Anolis sagrei: one gene and its partner. The protein of the gene in region 1 purifies or fractionates together with the protein of each later gene. This does not show direct contact. Links are inferred from orthologs where the notes say so. Each region holds a gene or a part of one and is shown in the gene's direction. Other genes may lie near its edges.

Evidence for each region.
Region 2: the proteins of USP25 (region 1) and BTBD9 purify together in Homo sapiens (affinity purification with mass spectrometry; 3 studies listed by BioGRID and IntAct, counting the BioPlex papers as one, with this or other methods). This does not show direct contact. The link is inferred for Anolis sagrei from reciprocal best matches to the Homo sapiens genes USP25 and BTBD9.

The regions. Positions count from the first base shown.
Region 1 is NC_090023.1:61,866,660-61,874,169, forward strand, and holds the start of USP25 (ubiquitin carboxyl-terminal hydrolase 25), read left to right. Parts: upstream 1-4,303; 5' UTR 4,304-4,529; coding exon 4,530-4,577; intron 4,578-7,510. UniProt on the Homo sapiens protein: Deubiquitinating enzyme that hydrolyzes ubiquitin moieties conjugated to substrates and thus, functions in various biological processes including inflammation and immune response.
Region 2 is NC_090021.1:46,422,554-46,430,623, forward strand, and holds the start of BTBD9 (BTB/POZ domain-containing protein 9), read left to right. Parts: upstream 1-4,941; 5' UTR 4,942-5,047; intron 5,048-8,070. Other genes in the region: GLO1 (lactoylglutathione lyase), read right to left, coding at 1,213-1,295, 2,604-2,684.

The DNA.
Region 1 (7,510 bases):
AAGTTCTTCCTAATGTTCAGATGGAATCTCCTTTCTTGTAGTTTGAATGAACAACAACCCCCAGAGTTGGACACAACTGGACTTAATGTCATGAGAAAACCTTTACCTTTTTATTATTATTATTATTATTATTATTATTATTATTATTATTATTATTTGAAAGACAAGATGAGTCCACAGCAGACACTCTGCTGGCTGTTGTATTGGACCACAAGTTGGATACTTCCCAAGTGTCTAGGACTGTATTATTATTATTATTGACACAAAAGTATAGTATGTCACAGCAAAGGAGATCTATTTGCTGGATTTCGTATCACAAAATCACAAGTCGAACACTCCCCAAGCGTCTAGGACTGTGTGATGTATTTTCGAATGATGCGCGCAGATCCAAGTAAGTTGGCCTTTTGCAGTTGACAGATCGTGATTTTGTCGATGTTTATTGTTTCCAAATGCCGGCTGAGATCTTTTGGCACGGCACCCAGTGCACCAATGACCACTGGGACCACCTGTACTGGTTTATGCCAGAGCCTTTGCAGTTCGATTTTGAGGTCTTGATAGCAGCTGAGTTTTTCCTGTTGTTTTTCCTCAATGCGACTGTCACCCAGTATGGCAATATCAATAATCCAAACGTTTTTTCTTTTCCACAATAGTGATGTCTGGTGTATTGTGTTCCAAAACTTTGTCAGTCTGGATTCGAAAGTCCCACAGTATTTTTGCATGCTAATTTTCCACGGCCGTTGCGGGTTTGTGATCCCACCAATTCTTTATTGCTGGCAGGTGGTACCAGTGAATCATCTGAGCCACAGAGTTGTGTCTTTTTGTAGTCCGGCTGTGCGATTTTCTTGCAACAGCTGAGGATATGATCCATGGTTTCATTAGCTTCCTTGTACAGTCTGCATTTTGGGTCATCAGCTGATTTTTCAATCCTGGCCTTATTATTATTATTATTATTATTATTAGAAACACAACAAGTTGAGTCCACAGCAGACACTCTGCTGGCTACTTCGGACACTTCCCAAGTGTCTAGGACTGTGTAATGTATCGGTGAATAATGCATGCAGATCCCAGTAAGGTGGCCTTTTGCAGCTGGCAGATGGTAATCTTGTCAGCACCGATTGTGTTTAAGTGCAGGACAAGGTCTTTAGGCACTGCACCCAGTGTGCCGATCACCACTGGGACCACCTTGACTGGCTTGTGCCAGAGTCTTTGCAATTCGAACTTTAAATCCACATATCGTGTCAGCTTTTCCAGTTCTTTCTCTTCAATCCTGCTGACATATGGGATTGCAACATCGACAATCCATATTTTGTTTTTTAACACAATCATGAGGTCAGGAGTATTGTATTGCAAAACTCTGTCTGAATTCAGAAGTCCCAGAGTAGCTTGACATGTGCGTTTTCTATAACTTTTTCTGGCTTGTGATCCCATCAGTTCTTTGTCGCAGGCAGATGGTATTTGTGGCACAAGTTCCAATGAATCATTTGAGTAACAGTGTTACGCCTCTGCTTGTAGTCTGTCTGTGCGTTCTTCTTGCAGCAGCTGAGGACGTGATCTATTGTTTCATCTGCTTCCTTGCAGAGTCTACATTTGGGATCTGTCGTCGACTTTTCAATTCTGGCTTTGATGGCATTGGTTCTAATGACTTGTTCTTGGGCTGCCAGAATCAAAATAATAACAATATTCTGCCATAATAATAATAATCATCAGTATGGAGTTTGGTATAATCAGTATGAAGTACATCGGTATGGAGTTTAGCCTAGACAAATGTGTCACAGTGGCATTAAAGAAAGGGAAAATTACTCACAGCAAGGGCACTGAGATGCCAAATGGACAAAGCATAAAATGTAATCAGCCTGAAGCCTATAAATATCTGGGCATACTACAGTTGGACAATATTAAGCATGGGCATGTGAAAAATGTGGTCAGCAAAGAATATGTCCAAAGAGTCAGAAAGGTTTTGAAGAGCAAATTAAATGGCAGAAATACTATCAAGGCTATCAACACCTGGGCCATCCCCGTCATTAGATACACTGCTGGGATTGTGAACTGGACGTAAGAAGAGCTGGATGATCTGGACAGAATTTTTTTTTAATTACCATCTACTACTTATTATACCCGCGTAGTGATGTCGACAGACTTTACCTGCCCAGAAAATCAGGAGGCTGAGGGCTTCTGCAAGTGAAACAAATGGTAGAAGAAGAGAAACATACATGGCCAAATTATGTGAAGGGCAGTCAAGAACCAACATTGAGCGAAGTCAATAGTAGTAAACTGCTTAAAGTGCAAAAGACAAAGAGTCAATACCGTAAAAACACAATCCAGAGCAGAAGACAAAACTGGCCAAAGAAGGCTCTCCATGGGCAGTTCATGGCAAAAATTGAGAGCCAAATTGACAAAGAAAAAACATGGCTGTGGCTCACAAATGGGACTTTGAAAAAGGAGACGGAGGGCCTGATTCTGGCAGCCCAAGAACAAGCCATTAGAACCAATGCCATCAAAGCCAGAATTGAAAAGTCAACGACAGATCCCAAATGTAGACTCTGCAAGGAAGCAGATGAAACAATAGATCACGTCCTGAGCTGCTGCAAGAAGATTGCGCAGACAGACTACAAGCAGAGGCATAACACCATTGCTCAGATGATTCATTGGAACTTGTGCCACAAATACCATCTGCCTGCAACAAAGAACTGGTGGGATCACAAGCTGGAAAAAGTTACAGAAAATGAAAACGTCAAGCTACTTTGGGACTTCTGGATTCAGACAGAGTTTTGGAGCACAATACTCCTGACCTCACGATCGTGTTAAAAAAACAAAGTATGGATTGTTGATGTTGCAATCAGAGGCGGCCCTAGGTAATTTTCAACGGTAAGCAAATAGTATTTTGCCCCCCCCCCCCACCAATCACTGATATATGTTTTCTGTTTGTCGTGGGAGTTCTGTGGTTCAATATTTGGTTCAATTCCAACATTGGTGGAGTTCAGAATGCTCTTTGATTGTAGGTGAACTATACATCCCAGTAACTATAACTTGCATATGTCAACATCTATTTTCCCCCAAGAGTGCCTCTGGGCAAAATCAACTATACTGCAAATGCTTACTTTGCGTAATGGGTTGAGCAGCCCCTGGTTGCAATCCGAGGTGACAGCATGATTGAAGAGAAACAACAGGAAAAGCTGACACAATATGAGGATTTAAAGATCGAACTGCAAAGACTCTGGCACAAGCAGTCAAGGTGGTCCCAGTGGTGATCGGCACATTGGGTGCAGTGCCTAAAGACCTTGGCCTGCACTTAAACACAATTGGTGCTGACAAAATTACGACCTGCCAGCTGCAAAAGGCCACCTTACTGGGATCTGCATGCATTATTCGCAGATACATCACACAGTCCTAGACACTTGGGAAGTTTTCGACGTGTGATCCAATACAACAGCCAGCAGAGTGTCTGCTGTGAACTCATCTTGTGGTGTTTCTAATAATAATAATAATAATAATAATAATAATAATACAGTCCTTGACACGTGTGATCCAATACAACAGCCAGCAGAGTGTCTGCTCTGGACTTTATTATAACTTTATTTGTACCCTGCTAGCATCTCTCGAAGGACTCGATGCGATTTACATAGGCCAAGGCCTCAAAACACAATACAACAATACAATACCTAAAGCAAATTAAAAACAGTTAAGCAGTATAACAACAAACATAAACAATACATCAAGACACTATAAAACTGGGCCGGGCCAGAGTAATGGGAACAAGATTAAAAGTGCTGATGTGGCAGGAGGTATGTAGGATTATAAAGTAAGTGCAATGTGCGGTGTGCAGCAATCTTAGTTCTACTAAAGTGCTTCCAGGACTTGGTATTGGAGATTCCTAATCTGAGAAGGCACATCGGAACAGCCAAGTCTTCAAGTTCTTTCTGAAGACTGCCAGTGTAGGGGCCTGTCTAAGATCTTTTGGGAGGGCGTTCCAGAGTCGGGGGGGGGGGGGCACCACAGAAAAGGCCCTGTCTCGAGTTATCTTGTGGTGTTTCAAATAATAATAATTATTTAAATACTGGTAGGCAGACAGGTTTTTGTCTTTGTCACTTCTGGAAACCTATGCCAATAGTCGTCGGGAACTGTCTGTAATTGGGGATCCCGGGGAAGAATAAGGAAGGGCTGGCCTCGTCCTGGGAGCGAAAGGGTGTGTTGTGTTCCTGTTTGGGGGCGGAAGACGGGGAGGGAGAGGAGGGGGAGACACCCTTTCATCCAGGCGCCGCCAGGAAAAGGAAACCGAAGCGGAGGAAGAAGGAGGAGGAGGGATTGAGGGAGGGATGGGAGGAGCCCGAGCAAGATGCCAGCACCGGGCAGGTTTGGTTGAGGCGGGCGCTGCCGCCGCCGCCGCCTTCACCCGCCACTAAGCGAGCGCCCTCTGCCTCCTCCTCGTCCTCCTCCTCCCGCCACGGCTGCGCTTGGCTCCCGCAGCAGAGGCCTCGGCCGCCTCCTCGGGCTCCCGCTCTTCCCCCTTTCGCCCAGCGCCGTCTCCAGCCATGACGGTGGAGCAGAACGTGCTGCAGCAGCAGAGCAACGCCCAGAAGGTGAGCGAGCGGAACCCAGGCAGGCGCCGGGTCTGAAAGAGAGAGGGAGGGAGGGAGGGAAGGAGGGAAGAGGGAGGGAGGAAGGTTCAAAGCGGAGAGAGGCCTGGCAGGGAAGAGAGAGGCCTGCCGCTCTGGGGCGCGTCCTCCCGCCTCGGCTTCCTTGTGACCTTTGATTCAGAGGGAGGGAGAGAGACAAAACACACACAACACAAGCGGCGTGTGTGTGCTGGAATCACAGCGCCTTGCATTTGGTCGCCTTTCTCTCAGGGTGCAACTACGCCAAGCGTGGGCCAACTTGGGCCCTCCCTCCAGGTGTTTTGGACTTCAACTCCCACCATTCCGAACAGCCTCAGGCCCCTTCCTTTCCCCCCTCAGCCGCTTAAGCGGCTGAGGGGGGAAAGGAAAGGGCCTGAGGCTGTTTGGAATGGTGGGAGTTGAAGTCCAAAATATCTGGAGGGAGGGCCCAAGTTGGCCCATTAGGAGTGGTGGGAGTTGCAGTCCAAAACACCTGGAGGGAAGGCCCAAGTTGGCCCATTAGGAATGGTGGGAGTTGAAGTCCAAAACACCTGGAGGGAAGGCCCAAGTTTGCCCATTAGGAATGGTGGGAGTTGAAGTCCAAAATACCCAGAGGGAGGGCTCAAGTTTGCCCATTAGGAATAGTGGGAGCTGAAGTCCAAAACATCAGGAGGGAGGACTCAGGTTTGCCCATTAGGAATGGTGGGAGTTGCAGTCCAAAACATCTGGAGGGAGGGCCCAAGTTTGCCCATTAGGAATGGTGGGAGCTGAAGTCCAAAATACCCAGAGGGAGGGCTCAAGTTTGTCAAGTAGGAATGGTGGGAGTTGTAGTCCAAAACACCTGGAAATAATGCAGTGGCACAATAAATATAAACATGCAAACACAATATGCATTATACATTAAAATCAATAAAAACCATAATGTATCAATACATTAAATGAACTCAAAACCATAACACAAAAGACCCAGAACATAATCCATAGCTGCCTATTGCACTTCCTAGCTGCCTATTGCACTGTACTACTCTCCAAATGCTTGATCCTATAGCCAGGACAGGCTGGAGGGAGCTAATCTAATTTCACTGGGGAGGGAGTTCCACAGGACCACCACTGACAAGGCCCTGTCTCTCGCCCTCACCAGCCACACCTGCAAAGGAGTTGGGACCGAGAGCTGGGCTTCCCCAGAAGATCTTAGCATCCGGGTTGGTTCATAGGGTGAGATATGTTCGGATAGGTAAGCTGGGCCAGAACTGTTTAGGGCAGTGGTGCTTAACTTGTGAGTCCCCAGATGTTTTGGCCTTCAATTCCCAGAAATCCTAAATGCTAAAGCCAGCACTTTGAATTGTGGTTGGTTGCAAATTGGCAAATGTCTCAGGGTGTTTTGTGTGTCAAGTCTGTGGAGGCTGCTTCACAGAATATTCTTCTCTATTGTTTTCATTCCTCTCCCCAATTTTTAAACACCTTCATTCCCCCCCCCCCCCCCCCCGGTCCTTGTGTCCTGAGATGCACCTTGCTTCTCCTGGTCATATTAGCTCTACAACCAGTTTTGTGATACTTTGGCAAACTAAATTTAAAGACTGGGTTGCTGTGAGTTTTACAGGCTGTATGGCCATTTCCAGAGCCATTCTCTCCTGGCATTTCACCTGCATCTATGTCAGGCATCCTCAGAGGTTGTGAGGTCTGTTGGAAACTAGGAAAGTGGGGTTTATATATCTGTGGAATATCCAGGGTGAGAGAAAGAACTCTTGCTTGTTTGAGGCAGGTGTTTAAAGAGTTCAGAGCTAGTTTAAAGGGTTGGAAGAAGCCAAAAATTTGTGTTTTGGTTCCGAAACGGAAACATGTTACAGCTTTTCCTCTTATACTCTGAAGTAATAGATGTAGTTGTGAAGTAAAAGTAGCATGGGTTCTCTTTAACGAGAATTTGCCAGGAAATGATCGCCTAAGATGCATTCTTGCTCATTGCCAACTTTATGTATCTAGCTAACCTTGCCCCTTCAAAACTGGAATCCGACTCTTGAATATTTGGGGCCTGTGTTAATCAAATTTAAATGTATGTATATCTTTTTGGGGTGTTGTGTGGCTGGCATCTTAAGATATATATCTTTTTCTTTTGGAGTATGACAGCCTGACACCTGGTGGAAATTTTGTCATGAAGTTAGATCTGTACAGGAAAAAAGTATTTAACTGACTCTGGAACAACCTTGTCAGATGAACTTAGTCTGTGTGCAAGGGCTATTTATGTTGCCAACACCGAGAGCCTTGTGGTATCAAGAGAAAGTAAAGTTGTTACCATTGAATGCTTGTGAAAATCATTCTCAAGTTTGTAAAACATATTTAATGCCCTTTCTTCAAAGAAGACATCACAGTTTATTTTTATCCTTCTTTTATGAAATCTATATGAATAAACTGAAAGTTACTGATATTATCAATTTACCAGTTTGAAAGTGTGGTCTTTGTTCAAAATATAATGTTTTTAGTGTCTCTGTATGGTATAAAGTGAATTATTCTTGTAGACAGAAATTGGTGTGTGGATTAATGTTTCTAGAAGTCTGTCATATGCTCTGGACTTGTTACATGAATACATTGTTGGTGAGTCAGTAATGATCATCTGGAAATGGTATGGAATCTCTACAACTTGTCATTCATTTGAGTCATATCTGTGTGCAGCCACTAAAATTGGGTGCTGGGTGGTTTTTGATTAATCTGAGTTGAATGGGGATGTTCAGGTTCTAGTTACTCTTATAAAGTTACTATTCACTCCTCTGCATCATAATAAAATTAGATTTCCATTTTTTGTAACACCTGTATTTGGATACATATGGTGAATGAAGTTTGGGGGAAGCAGGGTTATAACATTTCTAGTGCTCACTGAGACTCACTTCAAGGAGCCCCCACTCCACCACTGTCAGAAAGTGGAC
Region 2 (8,070 bases), on another chromosome or scaffold:
CCAATTCTATTGTTGGTGGGGTTCAAGTGGCGCTTTGATTGTAGGTGAACTTTAAATCCCAGTGACTACAACTCCAAATGTCAAATTCTATTTTCCCCAAACTCCACCAGTGTTCACATTTGGGCATATTGAGTATCTGTGCTAAGTTTGGTCCAGATCCATCATTGTTTGAGTCCACAGTGCTCTTTGAATGTAGTGAACTATAACTCCAAAACTCAAGGTCAATGGCCACCAAACCCACCCAGTATTTTCTGTTGGTCATGGGAGTTCTGTGTGCCAAGTTTGGTTCAATTCTATCATTGGTGGAGTTCAAAATGCTATTTGATTGTTGGTTAACTATCAATCCCAGCAACTACAAATAACAAAATCAATCCCCCCAAGCCCACCAGCATTCAAATTTGTGAGTATCGGATGTTTGTGCCAAATTTGGTGCAGTGAAAGAAAATACATCCTGCATATCAGATATTTACATGACGATTCATAGCAAAATTACAATTATGAAGTAGCAACAAAAATAATTTTATGGTTGGGGGTCACCACAACATGAGGAACTGTATTAAGAGTTCGCGGCATTAGGAAGATTGAGAAACACTGCTGTATAGGTTCCCTTTTGGAGTTCCGCTAGATAATGGAACAGTACCCTGAAGGGTTTTAGAGATACTCCCAATCCTAAACAATAGATTTCCATGGACCACTTTTTTTTTGTCGTGTCAGGAGAGACTTGAGAATCTGCAAGTCAATTCTGGTGTGAGAGAATTGGCCTTCTGCAAGGACATTGCCCAGGGGACACCCAAATCATTTGATGTTTTTATCATCCTTGTGGGAGGCTTCTCTCATGTCCCCGCATGAGGAGCTGGAGCTGGTAGAGGGAGCTCATCCGCCTCTCCCTGGATTCGAACCTGCGGGGTTTAATCTACTGCGCCACCGGGGGCTCCTCCATAGACCACTGACTCAAAACAAAAATTCCAGATCATTTATTCAACCGGCATCTTTTTGGGCTAAAGGCTTTTTCATAAACTGAATACTACAACCGAATTCAACCCATCTAGTTAAGTTGTGTTCAATCTCCTAAGCCGTGCTGAAAATAGGTCATGCAATTATGGACCCAGTCACACGTATCTACGGATTGGCATGCTTCAGTTTGAGAAGAATTAGCTATTGAAGCCCTAATGAAGTGGAGGGGCAATCGAGTCAAAAGGAGTTTGCACTTACGTCATTCCAAGAACTCTGGTATAAAAATCCAGTGACTTTTTGGGATCTTTTATTCTTAACATTGTCTGTTGCATCAGAAAATCCTGAAAAGAGAGAACTTATTAAATGTCTATGAACCATGAAAGACACTGCTATTAAAATTCTCCCATTTAACTGATTTCACGTGGCAAAATAGAACTATAGATACTCTTAGGACTTGAGTTTGGAAGTAACCAATTAAAAGAAAGTTTGTTGCTTGTTCTTTTTAAATAGCAACAATGGTACACAGCAACAGACCATGCGAATGCCATCATTATAAGAAGACTTCAGTAGAAACTTAGGCACTTCAGAATGGATATATTGTCGAAGGCTTTCATGGCAGGAATCTTTGGGTTGCTGTGAGTTTTCCGGGCTGTATAGCCATATTCCAGAAGCATTCTCTCCTGACGTTTCAACCACATCTATGGCAGGTATCCTTAGTGGTTGAGAGATCTGTTGGAAACTAGGCAATTGGGGTTTACATATCTGTAGAAGGTCCAGGGTGGGAGAAAGAACTCTTGTCTGGTTGAGGCAAGTGTGAATGTTGCTAATCAAGGTGATTAATTGCAACATTCACACTTGCTTCCAACAGACATTCAAGGCTAATAAAGGTGGTCAACACCACTTTGAAAACAGGGGAATTCCAGACATGAAACAATCAGGGCCAGTAAACACCTCCCAACAAAGGATTTTCCCCAGACAGGAATCAGCCAGGCCTTGAAGCTGCAAGGCTTTCAATGCTAATCAAGGTGATTAATTGCAACATTCACACTTGCCTCCAACAGACAAGAGTTCTTTTCTCCCATCATGGACCTTTTATAGATATCTAAACCTCCCTTGTTTAGATTCCAAAAGACCTCACAACCTCTGAGGGTGCCTGCCATAGATGTGGGTGAAACGTCAGGAGGGAATGCTTCTGGAACATAGCCATACAGACTGGAAAACTCACAGCAACCCATTTCAGAATTGTTTTAAAAGTGGTGTGTGTGTGTGTGTGTGGGGGGGGGGGGTTCCAGTATTAGCAGTCAGTTTGTTAGCTAAGTACTACCTTGTGAAACTATAACTCTCAGGACTCCATAGAATTGAGCCAAGTGTTGTCAAACTGCACTCATTCTGCAGTGTAGATGCACTCCCCAGGCCTGGAGGGAACCTGATCCTCCAAGTCACCGCCTTTAAAGTTCAGGCGCTCCAATTTTGGGGTGAAAGGTAACACCCAGCCTGGTGGTTTTGGCCCCGCTCCTTAGAAGAAACGCCTTGGCAAAGGCAATCCCTCCCTCCCGGTTTCGGGCTTGGCTTGCCTGTTTTACGGGGGAGGGGGGAGGCGGGCAAGGCAGCCTCCCACCAGGGCCAAACCTTCTCTCTCCGGCCTTTACCTTGGTGCTGGGGTGGGGGTCCGAGCAGGCGCTGGAGGCCTCTTCATCGGTGAGACCGCTGAGCTCAGCTTGCTCGGACATGGTGGCCCACGGGCTCCTTCCTCCTCCCGAACGAGCGCGGCGGCGCCTTGCAGTGGCGAGATAGAACGCGTCCTGACCAACAGCGACGAGGCATGCAAATGAGGGCAGCCTTCTTTAAGCCACGCCTCTCCTAGAGAAGGAAGGGTTTTGAAGTTCCTAGGGAGACCCTTTGAAAAAGAAACATGAGTTTGATTTTATTCTTTTACAAAGTTGCCACAGATACCTTAAAAAAACAATAGGACTTTGATTTTGGGATAATGGAATTTTTAAGCAATTTAATAATTTTTAAAGGCTTCCCATAGATACCACTTATTTATTTTTATTTTTTTAAAGGACTTTTGCGTTTTCCCTTGCTATGAAGGATTTTGATTTTAATGTGTGGTCAAAAGCTTTCACGGCCGGAATCATTGAGTTGCTGTAAGTTTTCCGGGCTGTATGGTCATGTTCCAGAAGCATTCTCTCCTGACGTTTCTCCCACATCTATGGCAGCCATCCTCAGAGGTTGTGAGGTCTGTTGGAAACTAGGCAAGTGAGGTTTATATATCTGTGGAATAATGTCCAGCATGGGAGAAAAAACTCTTGTCTGCTTGAGGCTGGTGTGAATGTTGCAATTGGCCACCTTGATTAGAATTCAGTGGCCTTACAGCTTCAAAGCCTGGCTGGTTGCTGCCTGGGGATGCTTTGTTGGGAGGTGTTCGCTGTCCCTGATTGATTCTTGTCTGGAATTCCCCTGCTTTTTCAGTGTTGCTCTTTATTTACTGTTATGATTTTAGAGTTTTTTCATATTGGTAGCCAGATAAATAAAGAGGAACACTCGAAAAGCAGGGTAATTCCAGACAGGAATTAATCGGGGCCAGCTAAGAAAGGATCCCCTAGGCTAGGGGTCCTCAAACCTTTTAAACAGAGGGCCAGGTCACAGTCCTTCAAACTGTTTTAAACAGAGGGCCAGGCCACAGTCCTCCAAATGTTATAGTTGGAGGGCCGGAATATAATTTGAAAAGACGTGAATTCCTATGCACACTGCACATATCTTATTTGCAGTGCAAAACAACCACTTAAAAACAATGCAATAATTAAAATGAAGAAAATTTTTAACAAATATAAACTTATTAGTATTTCAATGGGAAGTGTGGGCCTGCTTTTGGCTGATGAGATAGGATTGTTGTTGTGTGCTTTCAAGTAGTTTCAGATTTAGATTGACCCTGAGTGAGGGCTGGGTAAATGACCTTGGAGGGCCGTATCTGGCCCCCGGGCCTTAGTTTGAGGACCCCTGCCCTAGGCAGAAAGCGGCCAGGCTTTGAAGCTGCAAGGCCTTTCAATGCTAATAAAGTGGCCAATTGCAACATTTATTTTATTTATTTGCTATATTTCTATACCACCTTTCTCAACCTGGAGGCGACTTACAAGTTGGTAGCAATTTGATGCCATAACGATCACAGTGTACAATGAAAAACATTTAAAACAACATTATAAAATCCATACAAAACTATTAAAAACATAAAAATATCCAATGTCTTCACACCTGCCTCAAGCAGACAAGAGATCTTTCTCTTATCCTGAACATTCCACAGATATATATAGACCTCACTTGCCTAATTTCCGACAGACTTCACAACCTCTGAGGATTTTTTTTTTTTGTCGTGTCAGGAACAACCTGAAAAACTGCAAGTCGCTTCTGGTGTGAGAGAATTGGCCGTCTGCAAGGACGTGGCCCAGGGGACGTCTGGATGATTTGATGTTTTATCATCCTTGTGGGAGGCTTTTCTCATGTTCCCGCATGAGGAGCTGGAGCTAATAGAGGGAGCTCATCCACCTCTCCCCGGATTTGAACCTGCGATCTGTCGGTTTTCAGTCCTGCCTGCACAGGGGTTTAACCCACTGCGCCACCGGGGACTCCTCTGAGGATGCCTGCCATAGTTGTAGGCGAAACATCAGGAGAGAATGCTTCTGAAACATGACCATACAGACAGGAAAAACTACAGCAACTCACACTTTGAATTCGTTTTTTTAAGACTTTATATAAAACTGTACAATTGTAAAAACAAATTATGCAAATAATAAAAATTTTAAAACCAAGATATAAAACAAATAGGCAAGATGATTAATAAAAAATATTATAAAGTTAAACTCCACAAGCTTGTTTTAAAGTGATGCCTCCTTTTTCAGTTTAAAGAGTGAAACGCAGCATTCTATGGCTTCATAGATCTACGGAATTCTGACTCCCCTCTGACGTCACTTTGGACGTCAGCGCGTAGGCCAGTTGGGGCGCCGTTGCTAAGTGACGTCAGCGCGCAAGGCGACGCGTGAACGGCGCAGCCGGCGGTCAGGAGAAAAGGGGGCCCGCCGCCTCAGCGTTCCGGCCGGTAAGTCTGAGGGAAGGAAGGAAGCAGGGAGCGGGAGAGGGAGCAGCGGGCCAGCCTTTCTCCCCTTCGGCTCTCTCCCTGACCCTCCCGGCCGAAGGGCGCAGAGCAGCGGTGTGGGCTTGAGCTTCGCCGGGCTCCTGTGGAGGCGAAGAGGGCAAAGGGCGCCATTTGGCTCTAGGAAGGCCGGCGCCTGCCTTCCATTAATCCACACTGCAGGGTGACAGCCCTTTGACAGCCCTTTGGACGGCCATTGCTCCATGCTAGGGAATCCTGGGATTTGTAGTTTGCTCTTACAGAACTGCAGATTTCAGAATTCCATAGCACTCAGCCATGGCCGGTGTTACTCTTTATTTGTATCCCGCTGTTATCTCTAGATGGAGTCACCAGTGGTGTAACGGGTTATGCTGCTGAAATTGCTGACGGAAAGATTGGTGGTTTGAATCCAGGGTGAGCTCCCGCCATTCGCCCCAGCTTCTGTCAACCTAGCAGTTTGAAAACATGCAAATGTGGGTAGATCAATGGGTATCGCTCCAGCAGGAAGGTAAACGATGCTCCATGCATGACCTAGGACAGTGGCTCTCAACCTGTGGGTCTCCAGATGTCTTGCCCTTCAACTCCCAGAAATCCTAACTGCTGGTAAACTGGATGGGATTTCTGGGAGTTGTAGGCCAAAACACCTGGGGACCCACAGGTTGAGAACCACATGACCTAGGAGGTGTCTGCGGACAATGACAGCTCTTTGGCATAGAAATTGAGATGAGCACCACCCCCACCCCCAGAGTTGGACCCAACTAGAATCAATGTCAAGGGGAAACCTTTCTGTTATCTCAATACTGAGATGCCAAGCAGCTCACAACATTAAAAAGAGTTTTATTTATCTACTATATTTGTATACCGCCTTTCTCAGCCTATCGGCGACTCAAGGCTGTTTACAACACATAATAGCAAAATACAGATTAAGCATTAAAACCATATAAAACAACAATAGAAACAGTAAGTACGGTGTGTTGTCAAAAGCTTTCATGGCCGGAATGATTCGGTTGCTGTGGGTTTTCCGGGCTGTATGGCTATGTTCCAGAAGCATTCTCTCCTGACGTTTCACCCACATCTGTGGCAGGCATGCTCAGAGGTTGTGAGGTTTGTTGGAAACAAGGCAAGTGGAAGCAGCCAAAGGCAGGCAAGAAGCAGCCAAAGCCTTCAAGCTGCAAGGCTATTCAATGCTTTTTTTTTTTTTTTTTGTCGTGTCAGGAGTGACTCCTGGTGTGAGAGAATTGGCCGTCTGCAAGGACGTTGCCCAGGGGACGCCTGGATGGTTTGATGTTTTTTTGTCATCCTTATGGGAGGCTTCTCTCATGTTCCCGCATGAGGAGCTGGAGCTGATAGAGGGAGCTCATCCGCCTCTCCCCGGATTCGAACCTGCGGCCTGTCAGTCTTCAGTCCTGCCGGCACAGGGGTTTAACCCACTGCGCCACCGGGGGCTCCTAATGCTAATCAAGGTGATCAGTTGCAGCATTCACACTTGCCTCAAACAGACAAGAATTCTTTCTCCTACCCTGGACATTCCACAGATATATAAACTCCATGTGTCTAATTTCCAACAAATCTCGCAACCTTCGAGGATGCTTGCAATAGATGTGGGCAAAACATCAGGAGGGAATGCTTCTGGAATATGACCATACAACCCGGAAAATTCACAGCAACCCCAAAAAAGTACAGTTCACACCCCATAACATTCATATATTAAAGTAGAATTGAGTAAGTAAGAAATAAAAATTAGATAAAACTATTAACATGACCAAATACCCCACAGTGCCCTCCCATGTGGCTCCCATTCTGATATTTAGATAGAGCTTGGATCCCATGCCTTCCTGAGAAAGTGCAAGATCAATGTGTGTGGGAATTTTTTAAGTTAAAAGGGAGTACTGATAGATCCCCACGCCCACAAGGCATCCCTAACACCTGTGCAATGCAGTATCCAAGCAGGTACTTGTATTGGGAAGCCAGCTGAGGAATCCAGGTGCTTTAGAGCAGCAGTTCCCAAACTGTGGGCCCTTCCACAGAGCCATATAACCCAGAATATCAAGGCAGAAAATCCCACAATATCTGCTTTGAATAGGGTTATATTCCAGGCCAAAGCTGATAATGTGGGATTTTCTTCAGCTGTGTGAAAGGGGCCTGTGCTCCACAAAAGCTCAGGTTTCCACAAAAAGCATCATATTAGGGCGGTTCCATGAAAAACCTTAAAAATCAAATTGAAAATGCATTTTAAAATAAAACCACACCAGACCAACTCTACTGGATTTACATTCTCTGTAATAGTTATAGCTGTTGCTCTCACGTATGCTGGGTGCACATTTCAACTTTTTACAACATGTGATTCATATGTAGTCGATTTTTTACATTGGTTCCACATTTCTTTTTGAATTTTTACTTTCTTACAAAGTTTTTTTTAACATAAAAGACATTTGGAATATTCATAAAACATCAGAGTAAAATTTATTCAAAAATTGAATGTTATATAGGAAATTGGGAGACATATTTGAATTAGTGTAAAATGATCCAAAATATATTTTGATTCAACAAATCAGGGATATATGTAGTAAGAGTTCTGCAGAAAAAAAATATTTTCTGAAGGTTTGCATGACCCCATGGGAACCATTGCTTTAAAATACCTTCGATTTTGTTGCCATTCAGGTCATATCAACATAGGCAGATTAACCTTTTAGGCTGTTCAGCAATTTTTCAGAGTTTATACAAACATTAGTCCTCGGTACATTAAGAAGTGGGTGCAGTATATGGCACAGAGGCTGCTTGCCATTGGGCTGATGGGGCAAAGACCAGAGCAATTGTGAGTTGAAGCAGAAGGTCTCAATAGGCAGTCCAAAAACTTCAGAATCAGGCAAATAAAGCAGAGATGGTGATGTATTTTGATATAGAGTCATAGAGTTGCAGTCCAACTCCCTGCTGGATCTCCAGTTAAAGCATTGCCATCAAGGAGCTGTCCAGTCTCTTTCTGAATATAC